4 linked regions of the Arabidopsis thaliana genome follow. The protein of the gene in region 1 interacts with the protein of each later gene in a pairwise test. Each region holds a gene or a part of one and is shown on either strand. Other genes may lie near its edges. The genes, in order: RAP2.9, bZIP52, MYB1 and HB51.

What was found.
Region 2: the proteins of RAP2.9 (region 1) and bZIP52 interact in a two-hybrid assay, tested with the Arabidopsis thaliana proteins (one large-scale study listed by BioGRID).
Region 3: the proteins of RAP2.9 (region 1) and MYB1 interact in a two-hybrid assay, tested with the Arabidopsis thaliana proteins (one large-scale study listed by BioGRID).
Region 4: the proteins of RAP2.9 (region 1) and HB51 interact in a two-hybrid assay, tested with the Arabidopsis thaliana proteins (one large-scale study listed by BioGRID).

What each region holds. Positions count from the first base shown.
Region 1 is NC_003075.7:4,072,034-4,076,908, forward strand, and holds RAP2.9 (uncharacterized protein), read right to left. Parts: upstream 2,703-4,875; 5' UTR 2,513-2,702; coding exon 2,060-2,512; 3' UTR 1,684-2,059; downstream 1-1,683. Other genes in the region: AT4G06744 (Leucine-rich repeat (LRR) family protein), read right to left, coding at 1-51.
Region 2 is NC_003070.9:2,102,208-2,107,932, forward strand, and holds bZIP52 (basic leucine-zipper 52), read left to right. Parts: upstream 1-2,840; 5' UTR 2,841-3,025; coding exon 3,026-3,486; intron 3,487-3,566; coding exon 3,567-3,699; coding exon of another isoform or gene 3,700-3,801; intron 3,802-3,810; coding exon 3,811-3,895; intron 3,896-3,976; coding exon 3,977-4,311; 3' UTR 4,312-4,542; downstream 4,543-5,725. Other genes in the region: AT1G06840 (Leucine-rich repeat protein kinase family protein), read right to left, coding at 59-202, 277-348, 446-517, 601-751, 890-1,001.
Region 3 is NC_003074.8:2,830,383-2,836,497, reverse strand, and holds MYB1 (myb domain protein 1), read right to left. Parts: upstream 3,153-6,115; 5' UTR 3,039-3,152; coding exon 2,705-3,038; intron 2,212-2,704; coding exon 1,364-2,211; 3' UTR 1,108-1,363; downstream 1-1,107. Other genes in the region: BSK9 (kinase with tetratricopeptide repeat domain-containing protein), read left to right, coding at 1-89, 172-318, 397-510, 600-830; LAC7 (laccase 7), read left to right, coding at 6,021-6,113.
Region 4 is NC_003076.8:1,002,319-1,008,396, reverse strand, and holds HB51 (homeobox 51), read right to left. Parts: upstream 3,616-6,078; 5' UTR 3,413-3,615; coding exon 3,295-3,412; intron 2,743-3,294; coding exon 2,387-2,742; coding exon of another isoform or gene 2,279-2,386; exon of another isoform or gene 2,258-2,278; coding exon 2,024-2,257; 3' UTR 1,766-2,023; downstream 1-1,765. Other genes in the region: AT5G03795 (Exostosin family protein), read left to right, coding at 1-99, 178-843. UniProt on the Arabidopsis thaliana protein: Putative transcription factor.

The sequences.
Region 1 (4,875 bases):
TAAGGCGATGGTTCCAACAAGGAAAAGAGCCAAAAGCAAATGATTCATCATCTTTGCCACTGAACAAAGCTTTGTCGGCGATACAAGAGAAGTGGTAGTTTTAGTGTTTAGTGCCTTACTATTCTTTTGTTTTGTTTTTCTCTCTTTTTAGGTGGGTAGGTTTCTTGAGAGTATCATATCACTAGCCACTAGGTTTATGAAATTCAAAACGTTATAAAAATTGAGAAATCATTGGGAAGTAAAATACAAAATGATAACTCCCACTTTATATCAAAACCTGCCCAAGATTTTACATGTCACTTTCTCAAAACAAAGTATCAAACACATCTAATTTTTATAACATCAACGAATAAATATTATGCAACGGAATTTTGACATATCCCTTATAGTGTACTTAATTGATAATCATCTAGTTATGTTCATATTATGAATAAAACCTATTACAATTTTTTCATTTACTCTCCATCTTAAGTTTCATTCTGTTTTGCTTTTATAATTTTAAATTAACTTTAATATTTCACTTCTTAAAAAAGAATCATAATATGTTAAAATATATATATATATATATATATATATATATATATATATATATGAATAAGAATAGCATATTTAAAAAATATATATATAGTCTTTAAATTTTTTGCCAATTATTTTTTCTATTTGATCTTTTTTAAGGTTAATCATTTTCTTTCACATAAACAAGTGATAAACACTAGAGATCAAACTGTATTATGTATTTTAAAATTCATTTGTTTTATATATCGTACTATGATCTTTTGGTTCAAACAGAAATTTTGGGTTTGCAAATTGCGATGATCTATGTAACCTTGGGGTGGGCGTACAGTTTTTCGGTTTGATTTCGGTTCTTTTTTTTTTTACGATTTTACAGTTTTACCAAAACTATAACAATGTAAAAACCGTATGTAATTCGGTTTGGTTACGATTTGGTTTTTACGGTTTTACGGTTTCATAAATATTGAAACCATATGTAAACAATGTGTATCTTCGTTCGGTTTGGTTCCAGTTTAGGCCCGCTTTTCTTTTGATAATTTCATATTTTTACCAAGGATAAATAAATTTGATGATGCATAAATAAAAATAAACTTAAAATAAAAATACTATATCAACCAATAAGTAAAATGTAATGGATTTTTTTCTTATATAATTATTTGTTATTTTCTAAAATTACTAAAAGGACAATAATACTAAGCCTGGTGAAATTAATTTTAATAAACAAAAAAGCAAAAAAAAACATTCGGTTTTACGTTTTTTTAACCAAACCAAACCTAAATCGAAATCTTAATAAAATTATAAATGGATTTTTATATAAAACTATAACCAAACCAAACTATTTATTTCGTTTCTATATGGTTCGGTTTTCGGTTTTTGGCTTTTTTCCCACCTGATCGAACCGACAAGAAGTTAATTGTTGGGAGATTAAACTTTGCCAAGAAAGGAATTTTAAGTGCCTCGGAGAGCATCTAAATTAACTTTGCCAACAAACATTTTTCTTTTAATAATTAAACAAGCTAAGCCCAGAATAGGCCTAAAGGCTAAAGGGATTGAACCTTTTTGAATCGTTTATTTCACAAAAGTTTTCGATAAACGGATCACATAATTAAATTTACATCACATGCCCGTTTAGGCCACCAGCTATGGGCCCATGCAAATCCAATTTGGTATCTCATGGATAAAACCCCAATCAATATGTGGAGCTGCCTTTGCTGTTCCATTAGAAGACAAGACTTTACGGTCATGAAACGAAGACAATGGTTTCACTTCTCCCTATTCTAACAAAGTCGGGAAGACAGTTTCATACAACTGTTACACATCATTGGTTATAACAAACCAAATTGTACTTAATCATCCGTTATAATCATTGGTTCTTAGCATTTGTTTCGTTATTTGTTTGTTTTTTCAGGATCCATGTTATGACATAATTACTATGCTCAAAACAAAAATTACTATATTAACTATATTATGCCTCATATGAGTCAGAGAACCTCTGTTTGACTCTGTCTCCGGGCAATCTCCAACCTATAAACTACCAAACTATAAATTACAATCCATATGCCTCCGGCAACTTATTCATGTCTAAGTTCTCAACCATCCTATTCTCTAACCGCAACTCTGCGTCGACTCTAGCTCCCACCTCAGCCGCCTTCTTCCGTATCAACGTCGGAGACATATCTCCTCCTAAGCCTTCACCGCCGTTTCCATCCTTAAAGACCTCTTCAGGGAAATTGAGTCTCGCCGAAGGACCACGTAAGTAAAACACAGCGGTATCGTAGGCCCGTGCCGCGGCAACGGCGGTTTTGTATGAACCAAGCCAGATCCGTGATCGTTTATTAGGCTCTCTTATCTCAGCCACCCACTTGCCCCACTTCCTCATCCTTATTCCTTTGTATCGCTTCTCATTAGAGCTTATGAGATTCCTCTTTGGCTTCTCGGTCATGACCATTCCTTCTTTCACCATAGGAAACTCTTGTTTTCGTTTGTATTGAATCACCATCAAACCCTAACCAAACGTGACATGTCTACGTGTGTAATATATAAAGAGAGGATTACATGAGGGAGAAGATATGTGTCACGTTAGGCGGCTAGAGATATGCGTTATGTGGCTGCGCCGTCACTTTTTTCTTTCCCAAATTTTTTATATTAATTAAAATTAAAATATAGCCGACATAGACAAGAACCGCCTCTCTTTCCAATTTTACTATTGAACCTAAGAACTCTTGTTTGACTTTTAGTGTTGAAGACATCTGACTGTTTGGCAGTGCGGTTTAATAAACGGCTGAGAAAGTCTCTGTGAAGGCTGTCGACATTTGGACACCCGACGTGGCAGCACATTCTTTAGGCTACCACAATGCAACACATTGTATTCTATCAGTTTTGTCTTAACTATATAAATATATTAGGTCCGAACATAATTTTTTAATAACATTTACAGCAATTCACATATTTATATATCTATTTTTGTAATATTTTTCCATTTTTATATATATTTACAAAGAATATTATTAGCATTAAATGTTTTTTTTTTTTAAATATTTAATTTTACTTTCAATTTTTGATTTAAAATATCAATCACATTATCATTCAAATTTAATCCAAACAACAAACTTCAAATCAATTTTTTAAAATTAGCTACACATAATCGTACACAACAATCTAAAACAACTTAGAAGATATTTATTTCTAAAACATTTTCAAGTAAAATATTTGAAATTAATCAAACTTTCCAAAATCAAACTCAATTCAAGAATTTAAAGCAAGATTTACGCTAACAACATTTTCCCCAAATTTCTCCGTATTGACTCCACTAATTTTATTCAAATTTTACATACAAAATTCCAAATCTCATTTACTAACTACAAATTTGTATTTGCGATAATATTACTATCCACATATAAAACACTTCTCCAATTAGATTCATTCTGAGATTTTGTATTATATGTGACGAGATGTTTATTAATTTTAAACACTCTGCATTAACTAAAATAATTCTTTCCTTCAATATACCTAAAAAAATTTAGATTATGAAGATAAATTAAATACTCGAATACACGATTGATCCTAACATATTCCGATCATAAACTAATCAAAATAATTTGTTCCCTAAAATCTTGCATGATATTATATTTTTTCGATCGGTTGCTATGTATTAATGAAACCTATCTAGCTTTCCTATAAATACTATACACATAAATCTCATTTCCCATCACTAAACACAAATATCACAAACGTATTACTTTAGATTGGATTCATGTCTCTTTCCTTTTAGAAAGAGAAGCAAAGTTTGAAGAGAAAAAACATTCACAAGACAGGAAGATGACAAACAATTTAACAGAAAAGTAGTGTGGGGATTTTTTTTTTTTTTTTTAAATACCAATGTGATATATTTTGTATAGTTTTGCATAACATGAATATTCATAACATCGTCACGAAAATACCAATATTATTTCTTTTGTCTTTTCATTTTTTCATATTATTTTTATTTTATTTTTCAAATTATGTTTTATAGTTGGGATGTTCTTGGTAATTCTTGATCATTTTAAAAATATGTTAAGAAGAACAGATTTAGTATTTAGATATATTTAAGAAGAACATATATACAATGTCTTTTAAATAAAAGTATTATTTTAAAAAATAAATAATAATTTTTAATTTCATGGGACAGAGTATTATAATAGGACGGGGTTGGTCGATATTAAAACGAGATTGTACACTACGGGTGAGAGCCTAGAACTAACATTTAAAATAAAATTACAGATATAATTTAAAACATATAACAAAACAAACTATCTTAACAAAATATATCTAATTTAAAATTTAAGTTATAAAAAATCGACTTATGGTGTACCGCATGACAAAATCAAGGGATTGTACACAAATAATATATAGAAATTGGGGTTGTATATTTATAAAATACAAAACAGTATATTACATATAGATAATATATAAACAAATTAAACTTTTAGTTTTTATTAAAAAAATAGTCTCTTAGTGTACCGCAGGTTAAAAATATAGTATCCTATTAGTGAATAAAAAGAAATTCTATATATTATATCTCATTATTTTATTTTATTTTGATGATATTTAGTTTTTAAATAGTAATCCACACTTTTTCAGTATCTAGTATTCTAACTTTTTATTTATTTATCTATTTTTGAATAAATAATGACTTAAGTTATTTTTATTGTTCACTATATAACTACTATTATATGACATAATTTAATATTATTAAAATAGTCCTTAATATTTTACTTAAACAAAACTATATTTAGTTTTCATTTGTCTCCAACACTAATGAGTTTTTCTATTATAATCTTTATCTATGCATTTTACCATTTTATTTGTTTTGTTGACATCTAT
Region 2 (5,725 bases), on another chromosome or scaffold:
AAGGAATCACCATATTGAAACAGCCAAGTACAACTCGACACCAGATTAAAGAACTCACAAGTGCTTCGTTTTGTTTAAGTTTGCAAAAGATTTGGGAAGTGGTCCTGATATACGGTTTTCATCAATCTGTATTCTGTCCAAGTTTGGAAGAAACCCTAGCTCCTCTGGTAAGTTTCCATTTAACAGATTTCCATTCAGGAGCCTGGAAAAGTGAAGTTAGCAGCCAATCCCAAAGCAAATAAAGCAGGGAAGTAAACAACAAAGTCCTGGACTAACAAGAGTTCTAAGGACTTGATATTCCCAATTTCCTTTGGTATACTTCCGGTGATCTTATTCCACATGAAACTCCTGGCATTAGAGAAGAAGTTGTACAATACAAAAAGAAAGTTATTCACCATTGAGTATGACAAAAGATCAAGCAACATATCGTGTTAAAAACACGTACAGGATAGTAAGACGAGACAACCGGCCAAGCTCCGGAGACAAGTTCCCTGAGAGATTCATACTGAACAATTGCCTACAAGTATAAACAAAGCTAACTCAAACAAATCTCAAGGAAGACCAAATAAAAGAAAAAAGCAAGAGTGAAGAAGACAATACAATTCGCTGACATGAAGATAACCATCATCAAGAGTGGAGTTGAAGCAGACAACACCAGTCCAATTCGAATTGCACGGGTCTCCATGCTTCCAATTTCTCAATCTATGAACAGGATCGTTCAAACTTTCTTTGATCACTCGCAAAGCCCTCACTAAAACCAAAAAAAACATCAATGATCAGTACCAAATCAGTCGAAAGCTAAGAAAACCCATTGTCACAGACACAAATTGTCTGAAGATCTAACACCAAAGACAAAGCCTTTTAACAACAACAACAACAAAAAAGAAACCTTCAACGGGATTGGTGATGTCGTCTTGAGCAAAAGTAGAAGAAAAGCAACAGAAGAGGAAGAAGAAGAGCAGAGGTATGAGGAGACGAGAGACATGATGGGTCGAAAACATATCGAGAGAGGAGGAAACAGAGGAGACCCAAGGAAAAAACGAAATCTCGAGAGAGAGAGAGTTTAGAAGGAAAAGGCCATGACCAAGTAAGAAACACAAGACAAAGAAAGAGGAAAGTAGTTGGTATTGGGTGGGAGCATTGAAGAGTGATAATACGACATTTTCTAAGTTTGACTATTTCAGGTAATGGATGAGACCGACGGAAGAGCGTCATCATAAGTTTCCGTTGCGCCGCCGCCATAACTTCACCACCTTCTTCCGTCAAAACCATTCTACTTGCTATTTTTCTTCCTTTGTTTAATGATTCCTTGTCTGACCTGTCTTTGACCTTTTTGTCGTTTTTTTAATCCTTTTTTAATGACAGTAGGTAAATCTCTTGCCAGGTGCGATGAATTTCCAAATATTGTCAATAAAGTTACCTTTTTATCCCACCTTGATTTTTTTTTTATGTATTAATTAAAATTTAAAAACGTATACCATTAGCAAATAGTAGCAATCATTGGTATATTGGAATCATATAGTATATGGCAATTTGGTCATCGATATCGTATCTTTATGTGCATTTTGGCCCCCACGATACTAAAAGTCACGAAATTTTCCAAAGTATCGACTTTTATTGGAAAATGGTGCTGATTATCAACTGATTTGTAGAAGTGTGATTAATTACCTGTAGTCATTATGATTTTCTTGAACAAAAAAAGAAGAAACAGAAGATGTATGTCACTATGTCGTATCATTACGAGAGGGAAAAAAAAGAAACAGCTGGAATAAATTACTCAAATAAGAAAAGAAATACAATGGGCACTATTAAAAAGCATAGACATGAGCTATATATTATTTATGTTTAGAGAAGAACTTTCCAACAGAATTTGGTTTTAAAAAATACCCGTTAGGTGACAATAAATGGGAGAAACTATATCTTAAGTATGTTCATTATTTATATATAAAAAAAGGGAGAATCACAATTCACAAGTATGTTGATAAATAATAATAAAACAAAAAAAAAAAAGACAAAAGAAACTTTAGCTGGTAAAAGTAAGCATCATTAGGTTTTTAATTTGAATCACTATTAAATGATGCCGGTCCACTACTTGCGTTTAAGACAATTTAGAGAGACTTAACTAAAAAACTTATTACTTAAAGCGATCAATACGACCATCTTTTTAATTATTTTGACCGGTAAACAAAGTGATGCCCAATTGCCAATTTAAGAGAAGGCCCAAAACATCCTCCTGTCCACTACAGGCGCATTATATGCTCGAGGATTTCTTAAAACAAAACAATACTTGTCTTCTTGTATGGGCCTGATAATTAAGGCCTCCGTATGATTTAGATCCAACCAATAAGTATTTTTCACTATAAGTGAATTTTACTTGTTTCCCAATCCATAGATAGTTCCATACCAAGTTACCAACTTATTATCCCACAAAACATTCTCTCAGACTCTCAGTTCATACAAGGCTTTCTGCCTATTTTTTACTTGTTAAAATTTTGACTCAAAGATACAAAAATATACACTCAGACGTGGGGAGATGTAATGCCATAACAGCTTAAATTAATAAATTTCGTTGAAGCAACTACAGAATCTTGTAATGAATGCTACAAAGAAGATTTAAAGTTAAACAAATTTAAATCATGAAATCGAATAATTAAATAAAATACAAAGAAAAAGGAAAAAAAAATAAAAAAAAAAGGGAGGGAGACAAGATGCTGCGATGGTTCACGTGCCAATGTGCCTTTTACTTTTCATCAACTAGTTTTCTTTTTAATTATTAATAAATCAACTCAATTTCGCAATTTTATAGTTAGTGACGTCACTTCTCTCTCCTCACAGAGTCGAGTTTCTCTCCTACGCTCTTCATTTCATTTCATTTGATAGAGAGAGAGAGAGAGAGAGAGAGAGAGAAAGAGCTTCGTCTTCTTCATCTCCATCATTATCTCCATTGACATTGTTCTCAATTGCGAATAATAATCATAATTATTCACACAACCAAAGCATTCATCTCTCAGATTCTCTTAAAAAAATGGAGAAATCAGATCCTCCACCAGTCCCAAAGCCCGGCGCCACTATTATCCCCTCCTCCGATCCAATTCCTAATGCCGATCCGATTCCATCTTCTTCCTTCCACCGCCGATCTCGCTCCGACGATATGTCCATGTTCATGTTCATGGATCCCCTCTCCTCCGCCGCACCACCTTCCTCCGACGACCTTCCCTCCGACGACGATCTCTTCTCTTCTTTCATCGATGTCGATAGCCTCACCTCTAATCCCAATCCCTTTCAAAATCCTTCCCTCTCCTCCAACTCCGTTTCCGGCGCTGCTAATCCTCCTCCTCCTCCTTCCTCTCGTCCTCGCCACCGTCACAGCAATTCCGTTGACGCTGGATGCGCCATGTATGCCGGTGATATCATGGACGCTAAGAAAGCTATGCCTCCTGAAAAACTCTCTGAGCTTTGGAACATCGATCCCAAACGCGCCAAAAGGTCCTTCTTCTTCTTCTTCAAATTTGTTTCTCTTTCCACAGAATTGAAGAATTGCAATGAAATTAGGGATTTGATTACAGGATTCTAGCGAATCGACAATCTGCAGCTCGATCCAAAGAGAGAAAAGCTCGATACATTCAAGAACTTGAGCGCAAAGTTCAATCTCTTCAAACCGAAGCTACCACTCTCTCTGCTCAGCTTACTCTCTACCAGGTTTCCATATTCGGCGATTCCTCGTTTGATCCCAACAGAATAGGAAAGTTCTTTCCTCTGTTTTACATACATAGACAGATCTTGATTTCAATGTTGTTTTGATTGATCCAGAGAGACACAAATGGACTAGCAAACGAAAACACAGAGCTGAAACTTAGGTTGCAAGCAATGGAACAACAAGCTCAGCTTCGTAATGGTAAGCACAAAAAAAAAAGAAGCTAATTTCTTTGTATGCATTTTGGTGCATTTCTTCAATATTTGCTTTTTGATGTTACAGCTTTAAACGAAGCGTTGAGGAAAGAAGTTGAAAGGATGAAGATGGAGACAGGAGAAATCTCTGGTAATTCAGATTCGTTTGATATGGGAATGCAGCAGATTCAGTATTCTTCCTCAACTTTCATGGCTATTCCACCATATCATGGCTCAATGAACCTCCATGATATGCAGATGCATTCTAGTTTCAATCCTATGGAGATGTCCAATTCTCAAAGCGTGTCGGACTTTCTACAGAACGGCCGAATGCAAGGGCTGGAGATTAGTAGCAATAGCTCAAGCTTAGTCAAATCTGAAGGACCTTCTCTCTCTGCTAGTGAGAGTAGCTCTGCCTATTGACGACAAGATTATGATGAGGCTCATTTTTCTGTTAATAGGTTTTTTTTTTTTTCAATTCATTTGATTCACTTTTGATTATTTATTCTTTCTTTTTTTTGAGGTGCCATTGTGCAAGAAAGGACGTACGTATACATTTGTGTTGGTTATGTGTCGTGAGTTTCGTTGTTTGCTATTCCCATTGTTTGTTCTTCAAGGAACAAAGGAGACTAATAAATTTCATTTTTCTTTTGTATACAATGATGTTTGCTACGTTTTGTTTTATTTTACTAGGAGATGGAGATGTTTAATAAGTTCATTCCAATTGGGTTAATAGTTTGATTTTGGGATCAATGATTTTGATACGACAACACCAAGGCAGTTCCTCAGTAGCTTCTTCTCCAAGACACCCTCACATCCGTCATCCCATTAGAGTTTTGAGACAACTTCTCCCAACCGGACTTCTCCATGAGACAAAATTTCCCAAACTTGGAGTCGGAGTTGAAATGAGAGACGAAGCATTGAGAGATTAGTTTTTGAGACTCTGTAAGACTGTTAACGAAAATATTCGACCTTTGAAAGACATCTAACACGATTCAACCTTTAAGCAAAGACCCATTGTTGGAGAGAACCAACAAAAGTTCCAACCTTTCCAAACTGAGCTAGCAAGAACAATAGAACATGCATAACAATAAGAACGTGGAGAGTTTAGAACATTGTTACCATGTTATCAGACGAAACATCTACTCTCTGGACTGTGGACGTCCTTGGAGAAGCTCGGTCTATTTCGCAAAATAACTTCCAAAAAAAAAAGGAGAGAGCTCAGAATGGGGCAATATCAACTGATATTCAGTAGAATGCATTGGACCCAACCAATGCTAAAGCCAATTTCTTCACAGCTCATGCACCAGCCGGGAATCGAACCCGGGTCTGTACCGTGGCAGGGTACTATTCTACCACTAGACCACTGGTGCTTTGATGACAATTGTTTTGTTTTAATATCTGATATACAATAAAACCACATTTAAACCAATAGGCCCTATTTGATGGCGATACGTAATTTTATTTTTTGGGCTTTTTCATCTTTTGCCAGTGGGAATTTGTGAATTGTGAGTGTTTGTTTCTAACTTTCTATGAAATCGAAATTTGAGAAAATTGTGAGAAATTCAAGAGAATACATGTAAACTAGGGTTCAACAAGTAAATTGCCCCCACAAAACTATGCCAAAAAATGAAAAAACAAAACAAAACATGCCGATAGACAAATTCTAATCCGTATGAAGCCTCGATGTATCTTGAGCACAATATAAATATTTGATTAAATAGAAGCATTTGGGAAGACAACGAGAGATTAGTGTTTGGCTAAAAGAAAAAAAAACGAAACAGAATCCATTTTGTTAATTAGGTTGTGGTCAAACTCAACCCAACTAAGTTAACGA
Region 3 (6,115 bases), on another chromosome or scaffold:
GGCCAAGCATAAAGTTTCTTATGTCAGCTCTTTCAAGACTTGAGAAAAGAGCTGAGTTATGGCCCAACGTCAAAGAAGAAAACATCCCTGTAAGTCATTACTACATTAAATCTTCCAAGGTTTCGGGTTCTGCAGGCTTTCTTATGTGTACATGGGACTTAATAATGACAGACTCCATCATACACTGAACCTGCAACAAAGGAGCCATTGCCCTTGACCCCTTTCGGAGAAGCATGCTGGAGAGTGGATCTAAGTGGTATGCACGAACTACTCGAGAAACTCGGGTATGGAGAGGATGATGTGGTGGTCACAAATGAGGTACATTATATTTTTGAGAAACATATCTCTTTTGACACATCTCAATATCTCATCATGAGGAAAAAAATATTGCTGCAGTTCTCATTCCAAATGTGGACGGGTCAAATGCAAGAGAATATGGATTACAAGAAGCACGGAGATGCCGCATTTCGTGCTAAAGATTTTGAAACCGCAATCGAATTCTACACAGAGGTATCATTTTGAATCATCAAGAAACCGTCATCTTTTACCAGCAGAAAATACAATAGATATAGATATATGAATTTTTTCCGTATGTACAGTTCATGAGTGGAGCACCAGTGGTATCACCAACAGTATTAGCCAGACGGTGTCTATGTTACCTAATGAGTGATATGTTCCGCGAGGCTCTAAGTGATGCGATGCAAACTCAGGTCGCATCGCCAGAGTTTTCGATCGCTCTCTACTTACAAGCAGCTTGTCTTTTAAAGCTTGGGATGGAGGCTGAAGCTAAAGAAGCTCTTAGACATGGCTCTTCTCTCGAAGCTTTTTAGAGTTACTACGACGACAACAAAAAAGCCAGATTTGTACAGCTTCTTTCTCTGCATAAGTATGTAGAAATGTGAATATACACATAGCACATATACATGTTTGCTTCTTTGACTTGGTTTGAGAGAATCTTGGTGAACCATCAGTTTTTTGTGTGCTAAAACCGGATTTTCTTGCCGTTTTCCCTTGATCTTAACTGGATTGTGGTTTTTGTTACTACACATTCACACTAATTAGTAGTGTTATGACATTGATCATCATCGTCAGATTGTTGTCAAGGCATGTTGCAAAGTGAAACAACCATTATGATATGTTAATGCAGACGCCATACAAGTCACAAAGAAAGTTGAAGACACTGTGGTCTCTACTCGATTTCAGAACTATAAAATCTATCTCTACTCAATTACATCACAACTTTGATTACAAGTAAAACTCAAGCTCTCCGAGATCAAGAGTAAATAAAAATAAATGTAAAGAAATCTCAAAAAAGAAAGAAAAATAAAAAATCTCAGAGACTCTGTTTTTGTTCTCCCAGTTTTTATGTGGACAGGACATTGGTTATGTTCGTCCCCTGTTCAGATACAAGATAATGATCTCGATGACCCCTGGAGCCTTGAGGCCTTAACCGACCAACTGCGTCTTCCATCACCCTCACGCTGCTACTCTCTAAACCGCTTCTCAGCCAAGCGAGGCTGCCTATTTCCGTTGCTATAGCAGCTAGTTCGGAACTCGGAAACGTTGGTGAGTCTAAGTAATCCACAAACTCTGGACCCAACAATGATTCTTGCTGAAAACTGCCATCGGGATTGTTGCTGCAACAACCACCTCCACATGTTTGAGGCACAAACCGTTCGCTGTAAGCTCCTTCAAGCAATCTTAGCATTGCTGCGTCTTGTTTAGATGATTGGAGCTGATTTTGGTCTTGTATATGTGGAGAGGGTGATCCTTCCATGTGATTGCAAGCATTAAAAGAACTGAGCCGAGGCACTGGGCGGAAAAGCGTTGGAGGATCCTTATCATCTTGCCTAGAAATACCTTCTCCGTTTGTTTTCTCTACGCATTGTTCTTCAGACATTTCCATGGAGGTGGTAGCTTCTTTGCCTTCTGGAGATACAATTGGAGTAGTTACATGGCAACCACCGCCTGAAGATAAAGTTTCTTCTGATGAGGCTACTGTTGTCGTTCTGTCAAATCCAGAATCATCCACGACCAAGCTTCCAGTTCCTATATTCTTGGCCTTTTCAAAGTCTATGAATCGACGTCTTAAAGCAGAGTTCCAGTGGTTCTTGATAGCATTATCTGTTCTTCCGGGGAGGAGCTTCGCGATAACAGCCCATTTGTTTCCGTGGATGGCATGTGCTGCGATGATAGCCTGATCCTCTACCTCTTCATAAACCAAAACAAAAACAAAAAGAGAGACAAAGAAGTGCCTGGTTTAGTGTTACTGATGATATGTTACAGAACAAGAACACAATAATCTACTAATGTCCCCCTAAATAAAACTGTGTTTCGATCAGCTATAACAATACAACTAGAGGTAGTCAAATGGTATCCAACCTAACTTTGTTGTTCTTTTGGGATTCAAGGAGTAGATCAAAATCCAAAAAAACTTGCAAGTCTCAAACTTTAAAACATTTCGATACAAACTAAAAATATAAAACTAGAAATGGACTAACAATCTCTCAGCCAAGTTCACATTTCACATCCATTTCACAAAAAAACACAAGGTTGCTCAACAGCCACACTCCGAAAGACAGCATAAGAACCCTAGATTCCTCAATTCAACACAGATGAATCAAAACTCAAAAAAAAAAGAGAAGATCACAGGAAAAATGGAATCACCAATTGAAATTGAATACTTTCAAAAGAGAGAAAATACCAGTAAATGAATTGCGTATAAGATTTGGATTGAGCTGATTACACCAACGAAGACGACAAGACTTGCCTGAACGACCAGGAATACTCCGAGCGATAAAACTCCAATTCCTCGCTCCCAACCTCTTAACGAGCTCACTCAACACATCATCCTCCTCCTTCGACCACGGCCCTTTAACTCGATCTCTTCTTCCTCTCCCGCTCGTCCCAACGAACCCTGCCGCATCTTCTCCCACATCGCCGCCATCACCATCGCAATCTCCTCTACCAATTGACGATTCTTCCACCTCCCTTCTTAATCCCGTTACCTCCGATCGTCTCACGATCTCTGCCTCCATAAGCTTCCCTTCTCTCTCTCTCTCTCACCTACCGGATTTAACTGTAAAAGCGTTGAGTCTCGTTGAGGTCGCGTGAACACACTCGCTCTTTCGACTAGATTCGTAGGGCTTGTGTTTCGGGGGATCTTTTATTCCTTTTAATTACTATTTTGCCCTTATAATTGCCATTTACTTTGTTACCCTTAATCGTTATCCTCTGTCTTAACTTTTGGTCAACCTTTTTTGGGGGATATTTAGGTAAATCACTTAAAACGGAAGATCTTCGGAAGTTGATGACTTTCTTCTATGGCGGGAAATTCATTACCGGTGGACTAAGTACTTTTATTGGGCCTATTTAAGCCCATTATTCACCATATCAGGCCTCTTCATGACCCATTCAATGGATAATGAAAACTGAAAGTGAAAAGTAAACTTATTTCTCTACCCAAGAAAGCTAACCTAGAAATCCATTTTTTTTTATTTTTTTTGTCGTAACCTAGAAATCCATTTTAGACTTCTGATTTATCACTCACCGTTAATTTTCTTCACTAGTAAATAACAAAATAATATTGTTTCACGTTAATGAGATAATATTGTCTCATCTTTCATTATTTTGTTTTTTTATCAAACCACATTTTAAGATGGTTACAATTTTTTTTAATTTTTTTTGGGTTTTAAATACTAGGTTAAATCCGGTGCTAATTTAATATAAAATTTAAAGTAGGATTTGATTTATATTAGATTCTAAGAAATTTTGAAGTATTTTCAATCTATAAATACAAATGATAAAATAGTAAATGCGGAAGTAAGCTTTGTTATTTTGACCAAATTTCAAAATACTAATGCTTTTTTGGGTAAATTAAAATCTAATTAATGTTTAAACGTTTGAATTATAGAAAGAATTCTACATCCTAAATGGGTTTCTAAGTCAACTCACAAACCATGTTTAAAAATTCAGTTTGCCCAACTAAAATTGAAATTTCATGAGAAAGTATGCAAGATCCTGGAGTTGATTGAGTTTAAGTAGTCTTTAAAATTTGAAAAGTCAATGAGAATCCATATTCGCGTATGAAATGAGATGGCGAAAGGCCGAAAGCTAATAAAGAAAGCTCATGATCAGACCAATGCTTGCACATACAGTAAACAGTCAGATTATTGTTAATAGAGAACGACCTTTGCCTGACCACAAATCTTTAGATTTGAATAAAACGATTTTTCAAATTATGGCAAGAACGTTCGTTTTACAATGTACATAAAATACATTATTAACCTAAAATTTAATTGACCAGATATGTAGAACCTATCTTTACAATAATCAAGTATGTACATATAAAGTTACATGTCCACTGACGTCGTAGAAGAATGATTAACTGGATCAACTAGGCCGGTCAAGAGAAAACAGTTGTCGCATCCAATATTACAAATATTCATGCAGAGATATATTATGTGAAACGTATATAGAAAATATATCTAGTTATCTACACAAAAAATACATGCAACACGTTTCTCGAAGATATTGTAAAGTTGACTTGGATGCTTTCAAGTTTCAACTTGAACATATGGACCGTTTCTATGCACGTACGTATCAAAATTCTTCATTATATATATATAAAAATGTATTAAAGTAAACAAATTAATATGATAGTGGGGAACTTTTTATAAGAAATAATTGATCAATAGTTGAAAGAATAATTTCACAATACAACAACTGTCATATATTCTGAGACAAAATCCATTGGCCTGTGTCTGGAGTGCGTCGCATGTATTGCTTTTGCATTTAAATCAAGTCTAAAGCAAATTTTTGGATTCGTTGATTCCTTAATTTTATCGAATTCGATCAACTTTTAAGTACGTATACTACGATCTCTTATGATTCTTGGATATCTTTTCACTTTTAAATTCTGAGAACAGTAGCAATGAAAAATAATTTGACCATTGGTTTCTTTAGTTTCTACCTTTTCAATGTTTAAATTAAGATTTGGATTACTTTGATATTGAATTCATCGATCTTTGGGAAGGATTTTGCAAATTCAGAAATGTTCAGTTTTATTATAAATCTGTCACTAAAATTGTGGTTGTTACTTAGATATCAAATTAGATAAGTAGTTGTCTATATTGGACTTGTAATACGAATTATATTGAATTGAGGTTGTTTGTGTTGAGAAGCAAAAAATTTGATGACTTTTGTTATTATTTACGAAAAAAGTATAAACTAAAATAATAAAGGGAGTAATCAACTGTTAGAAATTTAGACAACGATGTCTCTACTAACAGATTGAAAATACTTATTATGGGCATAGCTTCGCTAGCAAGAAATGTTTCAATATCTACAAAAATACACGTAGACAAATATTTAGACACAATTGATTATGTTAGAGAACAGTGGTCGTCTGGTCGATGTACATATAGCAATCCATTAACTCCGATTCTAATATTTCTTGACTAATTATTTCGAAATTGTGCAACAAAAAAATCATAAACAAGTTTTAAGAAGCTTACATTAAAATGAATAATTAACTATACATTTCTTGTTTAAATTACACACTAGCTATTAATAATTGTAAGGGATTTTTTCTGTATAGAAAAGGTATCGTTTTTTTAAGTTTAATCTTCGATAGCCATTTTAAACAATATATCATATAATAATAAACAATAAGAGAGCAACGAACTATAATACTAAAGTTGAAAAACTATCAAAATGATGTGGCAGTAACATTGGATAGAACTTACGTTTACGTAGCTAGTTAAAGTTCTAAAGAAAACCAAACAACCAAAATATAATTATAATAGCACATATTGAATATTCATTTATATTTACTTGTATAGTCAAACCATTATCTTAGACAACCCTAATTAACATCAAATGTTTAGTCCTTCGTTAGTTATCACTTACCACTCTGCATTCTATAAATTATTAAGTAGAACCACAAGTCTCGTTGCTTCAATATCTCCATAACACGTTTCTCTCTTTCTCTGCTAGCTCTCTCATCCTTCTCTCTATAGATGGAGGGAGTTAGGGTTCCTATTGCTTGCGCTCTAATTCTTCTCGCAATCTCTTCCATAACTTCTGCCTCCATTGTGGAACACACCTTCAACGT
Region 4 (6,078 bases), on another chromosome or scaffold:
AATACAGTCAAGGATTACATCAATCTTGTGGGTGATAAATACCCATATTGGAACCGCAGCATCGGAGCCGATCATTTCATACTTTCTTGTCACGATTGGGTACGCTATAACAATATATTTGGCTTATATCTTCTGGTTAGCTAGTTATCGTTATAATCTTGAAATTTTTTGGTATAGGGTCCTGAGGCAAGCTTCTCTCATCCACATCTAGGACATAATTCGATTAGAGCTTTGTGCAATGCCAACACGTCAGAGAGATTCAAACCAAGAAAAGATGTGTCGATACCGGAGATCAATCTAAGGACGGGATCCTTAACTGGATTGGTCGGTGGACCGTCACCTTCCAGCCGTCCCATCCTCGCCTTCTTTGCAGGGGGTGTACACGGACCGGTAAGGCCAGTCTTGCTCCAGCATTGGGAGAACAAAGATAATGACATTAGAGTCCACAAGTATCTCCCTAGAGGAACGTCTTATTCTGACATGATGCGGAACAGCAAGTTCTGCATTTGTCCTAGCGGTTATGAGGTTGCGAGCCCGAGGATCGTGGAGGCACTCTACTCGGGTTGCGTCCCGGTTTTGATAAACTCAGGATATGTTCCTCCGTTCAGCGATGTACTGAACTGGAGATCGTTCTCGGTGATCGTTTCAGTGGAAGACATACCGAATTTGAAAACGATATTGACATCTATATCGCCGAGACAGTACTTAAGGATGTACAGAAGAGTGTTGAAGGTAAGGAGACATTTTGAGGTGAATTCTCCGGCTAAGAGGTTTGATGTGTTTCATATGATTCTTCATTCGATTTGGGTGAGGAGATTGAATGTGAAGATTCGTGAAGTCTAAGTTTTGTCAGATTTTTTTTGTTTGTTTGGCGTGTGTAACGAAAAATAATTGAAAAGTCCCGGGATTGTTTGTGTGTGTGTGTAAAATTATAATTGGGCGTTTTTCTTCATTAATTTGTAATAAACAAATAATAGTTATATTTGCATATTTTAATATGTTAACTTAAAAGTTTACAAATAATCAGGCGTCAAGGAACATTCGAAGAAGAAAAATAGCTTGTGCACTGAAATACTGTGACGATATAATTAGGCGACTTTTTGGTGTTCATATACTAATACTCTGTTAATTAATTAATTTCAATTGAATTATTTTAGTTATTACTTATACATGTGTTCAATGTTTAGGATCAAGTATATTTCAGTTTAAAGACAGCTATTCGAAGTTGGTTTGTAAAATACTAAAATTGGTTCAAAATTTGATTGGCCCATTACAAGTTACACATCTTACCAAACTTTAAGCTCAGATTCACTGACTCTTAGTTAGGCCCAAAATAACTCCTGACTAGGCCCAAACAAACTAGCAACGACGGTTCCAAATATAAACAATGGAGTGGCAGCTTCGTACTACTTCTGATCACTTTATGGCTTTTGCGTCTGATGTTTTATCAATATGAGACAGTTATTGGAATACTGTCAAGGTTACAATTTTTATGATCTCTGATTCGAAATGTAAAGTTCTTAAATATTTAACAACTAAAGCCTTCTTCAATCAAAGCTTACCTGGAGACAGTCATGTACATATAAAGATTAGCTTTTTACCAAGCTACAACACACACACACACACACACACACACAAAGCCTAAGCAGCTTTTTTTTGCGTCAAGAGGTCTCAAGTTCGGTGAAGGGAAGCGGAAAATGCTGAGCATCAGTGTCAAGATTTGTACAATCTCGTTTACTCTCGTCATTATTTTGGTTTATAGCTAGTTTTGTTTCGGACATTCGCCAATTCTGAGTGTTCATAGTATAGTTGTTCAACAAAACCAACTCAACAATTTTCAGACTCAATCTCGCATCCAAGAACGTGCCATTTATGTTTTAAGATCGTACAATGAGAGAAAGCTTGTCTTAGTCTATAACACTACTAAAGTCCTAGTCTAAAGCTCTATTTGACACAATCTCTCTCTCTCTCTTTCTCTCGTTCTCTCATTCTCTTTCCCTCTCTCTGAGATCAGCAACATCTATCAGGGGTATGACGGCCAGCCAGAGGAAGCAACCAGCATCGGATTGTTGTATTGACCGTAAACTTGATTCCCTCCGGTGATTTGATTTGCGTTCATATTCTCCGTTCTTGGATGAGCTACCACCACCGATGAAATCTCCACCGTGTCTTCCTCACCGGAAACTTTGATGGTCCCGGCAGAGATTTGCTTCTTGATCAAACCCTGGTCTCTTAGTAAAGCTCTCAGCTTCTTCACCTGCACCACCAATCCAATTTTTTAAGGGGGGCAATCTGATAGAATCAAGACTTTAAGGGATAAATTAAGAAAACGATAATATGTAATTAGATCCCATGATTTTAATTTTGTGCAATATAATACACAAACCTCATCGTGTAACATTTGTTTCTCCCTAGAAACGACGTCGTACTCTTGTCTAAGCGAGTCGTACAACTGCTCAAGCTGCTTCGCCTTCCACCGTGCACGGCGGTTTTGGAACCAAACTGCTATCTGACGTGGCTGCAGACCGAGCTCTCTCGACAGCTTCACCTTCCTGTCTGAATCTAATTTGATCTCTTCTTGAAAACTTCGCTCAAGTGAAGCTAATTGTCCACTCGTTAGTCTCTTCTTTTTTATCATCTCATTGTTGTTGTTCGGAAATCGGTACGCATTCATGATCTTTTCTGATTCCGGTACAGAGATAACCGGTCCGGTTTGTGTATCGCCAGGCGTATATGAATTTCCTGCTGTTAAACATTTTAGCAAACGCCCCGAAAGGATAAAAGGAAATATTTAAACATAGAAGCGCAACAATATAATCATTATACGAAAAAAAAAAAAAAAAAAAAAAAACTTCCAAAAGTATAAGAAGAATAAAATTATGTCCGCAACCATTTTTCTTAGAGTGAACTATACCATAAACGAATCTCAACTTTTCAAAAGTGACGTTTTACCTTTTTGCATTTGGATCCCAAGAAATTGTTTTTGTAGGATCCCAAGAAAAAAGTAAGAAACTTTATTTATAGATATTGTAGACTGAAGATAAGAAAATCTTAGCTTCTCATCAGAAAAGTAACGTTTTAGTTGACATTTGGAATGAAGTTTAGGGACGTCATATTTGAAATTCTTTACATCATTCACAGAAAAAAAAAAACTTCTTGAGAACATTTGCAAGTGGGATAAATAAGGTTTTAAAGTTCATGAATTCGTCAAATATGGAATTAAACACATCTAAAAGTAAAAAAAACGAAAGCATGTAACATATGCAGACTTGGTACGATGGTGTGTGAATATACCTGCGTAAGGATCAAAGTTGAAGCTGTGGAGCGAGTTAAAGGAACTAGACTCCGGCCATGGCGGTGGCATGAAAGCTACTCTCACGTTTTCTACGTTGCTCGTTGTTGACCACTCCATCTCCTTTCTTTCTTTTGTAGTTCTTGTGAATATCTTAATATATATAAGAAGACATGAGAGATGGTCTATAAGGAAGAAAGATATAGGATCTAATACAATGGATAAAAGAAAGAAAAGAAAATTAGGGTTTTATTGGACCACAAGGGAAGGGGTAAGAGAGGCGTGACAAGAAGTTTCTTCTTCTATGTACTTTGTCTTTTGGAGGTGTAACAAAGTGTGAGAGCACGCAGTGTTCGAAACAATACATATATAAATAGGGATATGTATCTAGAGGGAGATATAGAGGTGTAGTGAAAGAGACAGAGTGAAATTGTCTGTGTTGTGTGAGGTTTTTTTCACCTAATAAGGGAGCAACCCAACAGTACCTTTTGTTTTGGAATTTAAAGATTGAAAAGGAAAGTGTGATATAATTTTGTCTCATTTGCACATCATCAATCATCATCCATCATCTCTCTAACATTAATATAGGTTGATATATTTTGTTGTGTCCAAGGGTCAAACTTGGAATTTTTAATTTATTTTCGGGAAACTGTTTTTTCTTTCGTATTAGTTTTTTTATAATATATATACTATCATGACACCTAATCTACTTGTTTATGTCAATATTATCGTTGCGCTTTTTCGATAAACATACAAATTGTAACAATTTATAGTGTTACAGAGTTTGCAAGATGATGTGAACCAACCAAGACAATACATGTTTTAGATTTAAATAAAATTGATTTTGCTACAAAATTAGAGGTTTTGATAATATCATATTTTTTGAAGAAAAAACAAACAATCTTGAGCCTTGTGTGAATGCACCAAATATTCCTTTTGAAAATCTAGTGTAAACCAATAAATGGTAAATCAAAATCTGCATGGATTAATTATATTTGACGGAATTTCTAAACTTGGGACTTTTTAACATTCACATAAATCTACTTGTGGCCTTTAACATTTAAACCACCGTCTTAATTGACTGAATTTTATAAACATGGAAACATAAATGTAGTTGAAAAGAAATTGATGAGATTTTATATATAAATATATTGTAATTTCGTGTAGTAATATAGGTGGGGGTACGTATTTGTCAAAGTTAAGCTTAAATAAGTGAAAGAGAAAGAGTGAAACGAAACTAATGGTCCCCCAAAAACTCCATAAAAACTGACAATGTGGTTCCCCCCTTCTTTGGTTATGCCTTCATTCTTGGTCCTAAGATTTTCAGTTATTGTTTTGTCTTATATATACACCATCTAAATCTACTTATATATATGTGAAAATTAATGTGCAAAAGGTTTGGCACTAGTGGCAAGTCCATACCAATGTATATGTGCAGTAACCTGTATAGAGTATATAGGGTGAGGCCAAAAGCTACCTTTGAAAGCTAAGAATCAACACAGAGAGCTAAGTAGATCATCTATAAATAAAGAGTCTGATATGACCAATAAAAGCCAAAGCAAAGAAGAAGTTTGAAAACTAAGTCTCATTGTCTTCATCTACTGTGTACTCTTTACCCCCACATTCTTTATTAACTTGCAGTTCTACACACAATCTCTCTCCCTATATCTCTCTCTCTCATATTCAATTGCTACTTAACAAATTGTTGATGTGTAAATAGTGTAAGAGATGGAGAGAGAAGGGTAGAGAGGGAAGGAAAGGAATCTTTTTCTATGTTAAAAGTAGATAGGGTTTGAACAGATTGATGATAAGTAATGAGATTTAAAACTAACGACAGTGTATAAGAGAAAAGGGAAGCTTTTAAGCCTAAACCCTTGAAAGAGATGAGACATCACAGTTTTCATAGTGTATAATTTTTTTAAGAATATTTTTATGGTTTTTTTTCGATGATTGCATTCATTGTAAAGGATCCGTTTGATAACAACATTTCATACTCTATTTTCTTAAAAAAATAATATGCAAATTTCACTATTTTAGCTAAGACCCTACGTAAAAAGTCTTCGATATGGACCAAAAATAACGTGTTTTTAACTTTTAAATGTTTACGTGTTACGCCAATATATATATGGTTTTCCTTGTCTGGATTAAATGAGAAATAAGACCGATTTGTATTCGAAATAAACTAAAATTAAGACCCATAAAATCATTTAGAATCATCATTCAGCTTGAAATTCCATTTCTTTCTTATCCGTTTTGTCCTATCGCCACTAATCCTTTTAACTTTTTGTGTATTTAATTATACATTCACATACGAAAATATATAATGTAATATTTATTCATAATTTCGTATACATCTTTATTAGAATAGAGCTAGTGATGAAGTTATAGGGTTATATATTAACTCTTCGAGTAGTAGATAATGTTAAGAACCAGAAGGTAATTAGTTGGGTTCATGATGAATGATTTCACAGAATCTTAAAAGTTAAAAGCCTTTTGTTAATACTGTCAAACAAATTAAATAATATCCGAATAAAAACTTTTAGCAGAGTCTCACTCTCATCTCCATGCATGCATTAGAAAAAAAAAAAAAAAAAAAAAAAAAAAAAAGAGGAGAGCCAGAACTAAAAACTCAGATATTGAGGAGAATCCAACATGTACAGGTATAATTCACAACTAAATTCCTTTGTTATTGTTCTTTGAGAATTGAGACTTTCCCCAAATGATTTCATTAGTTTTTATATAACATACACGATTTCATATAGACGACAAAAATAAAAATAAAATTA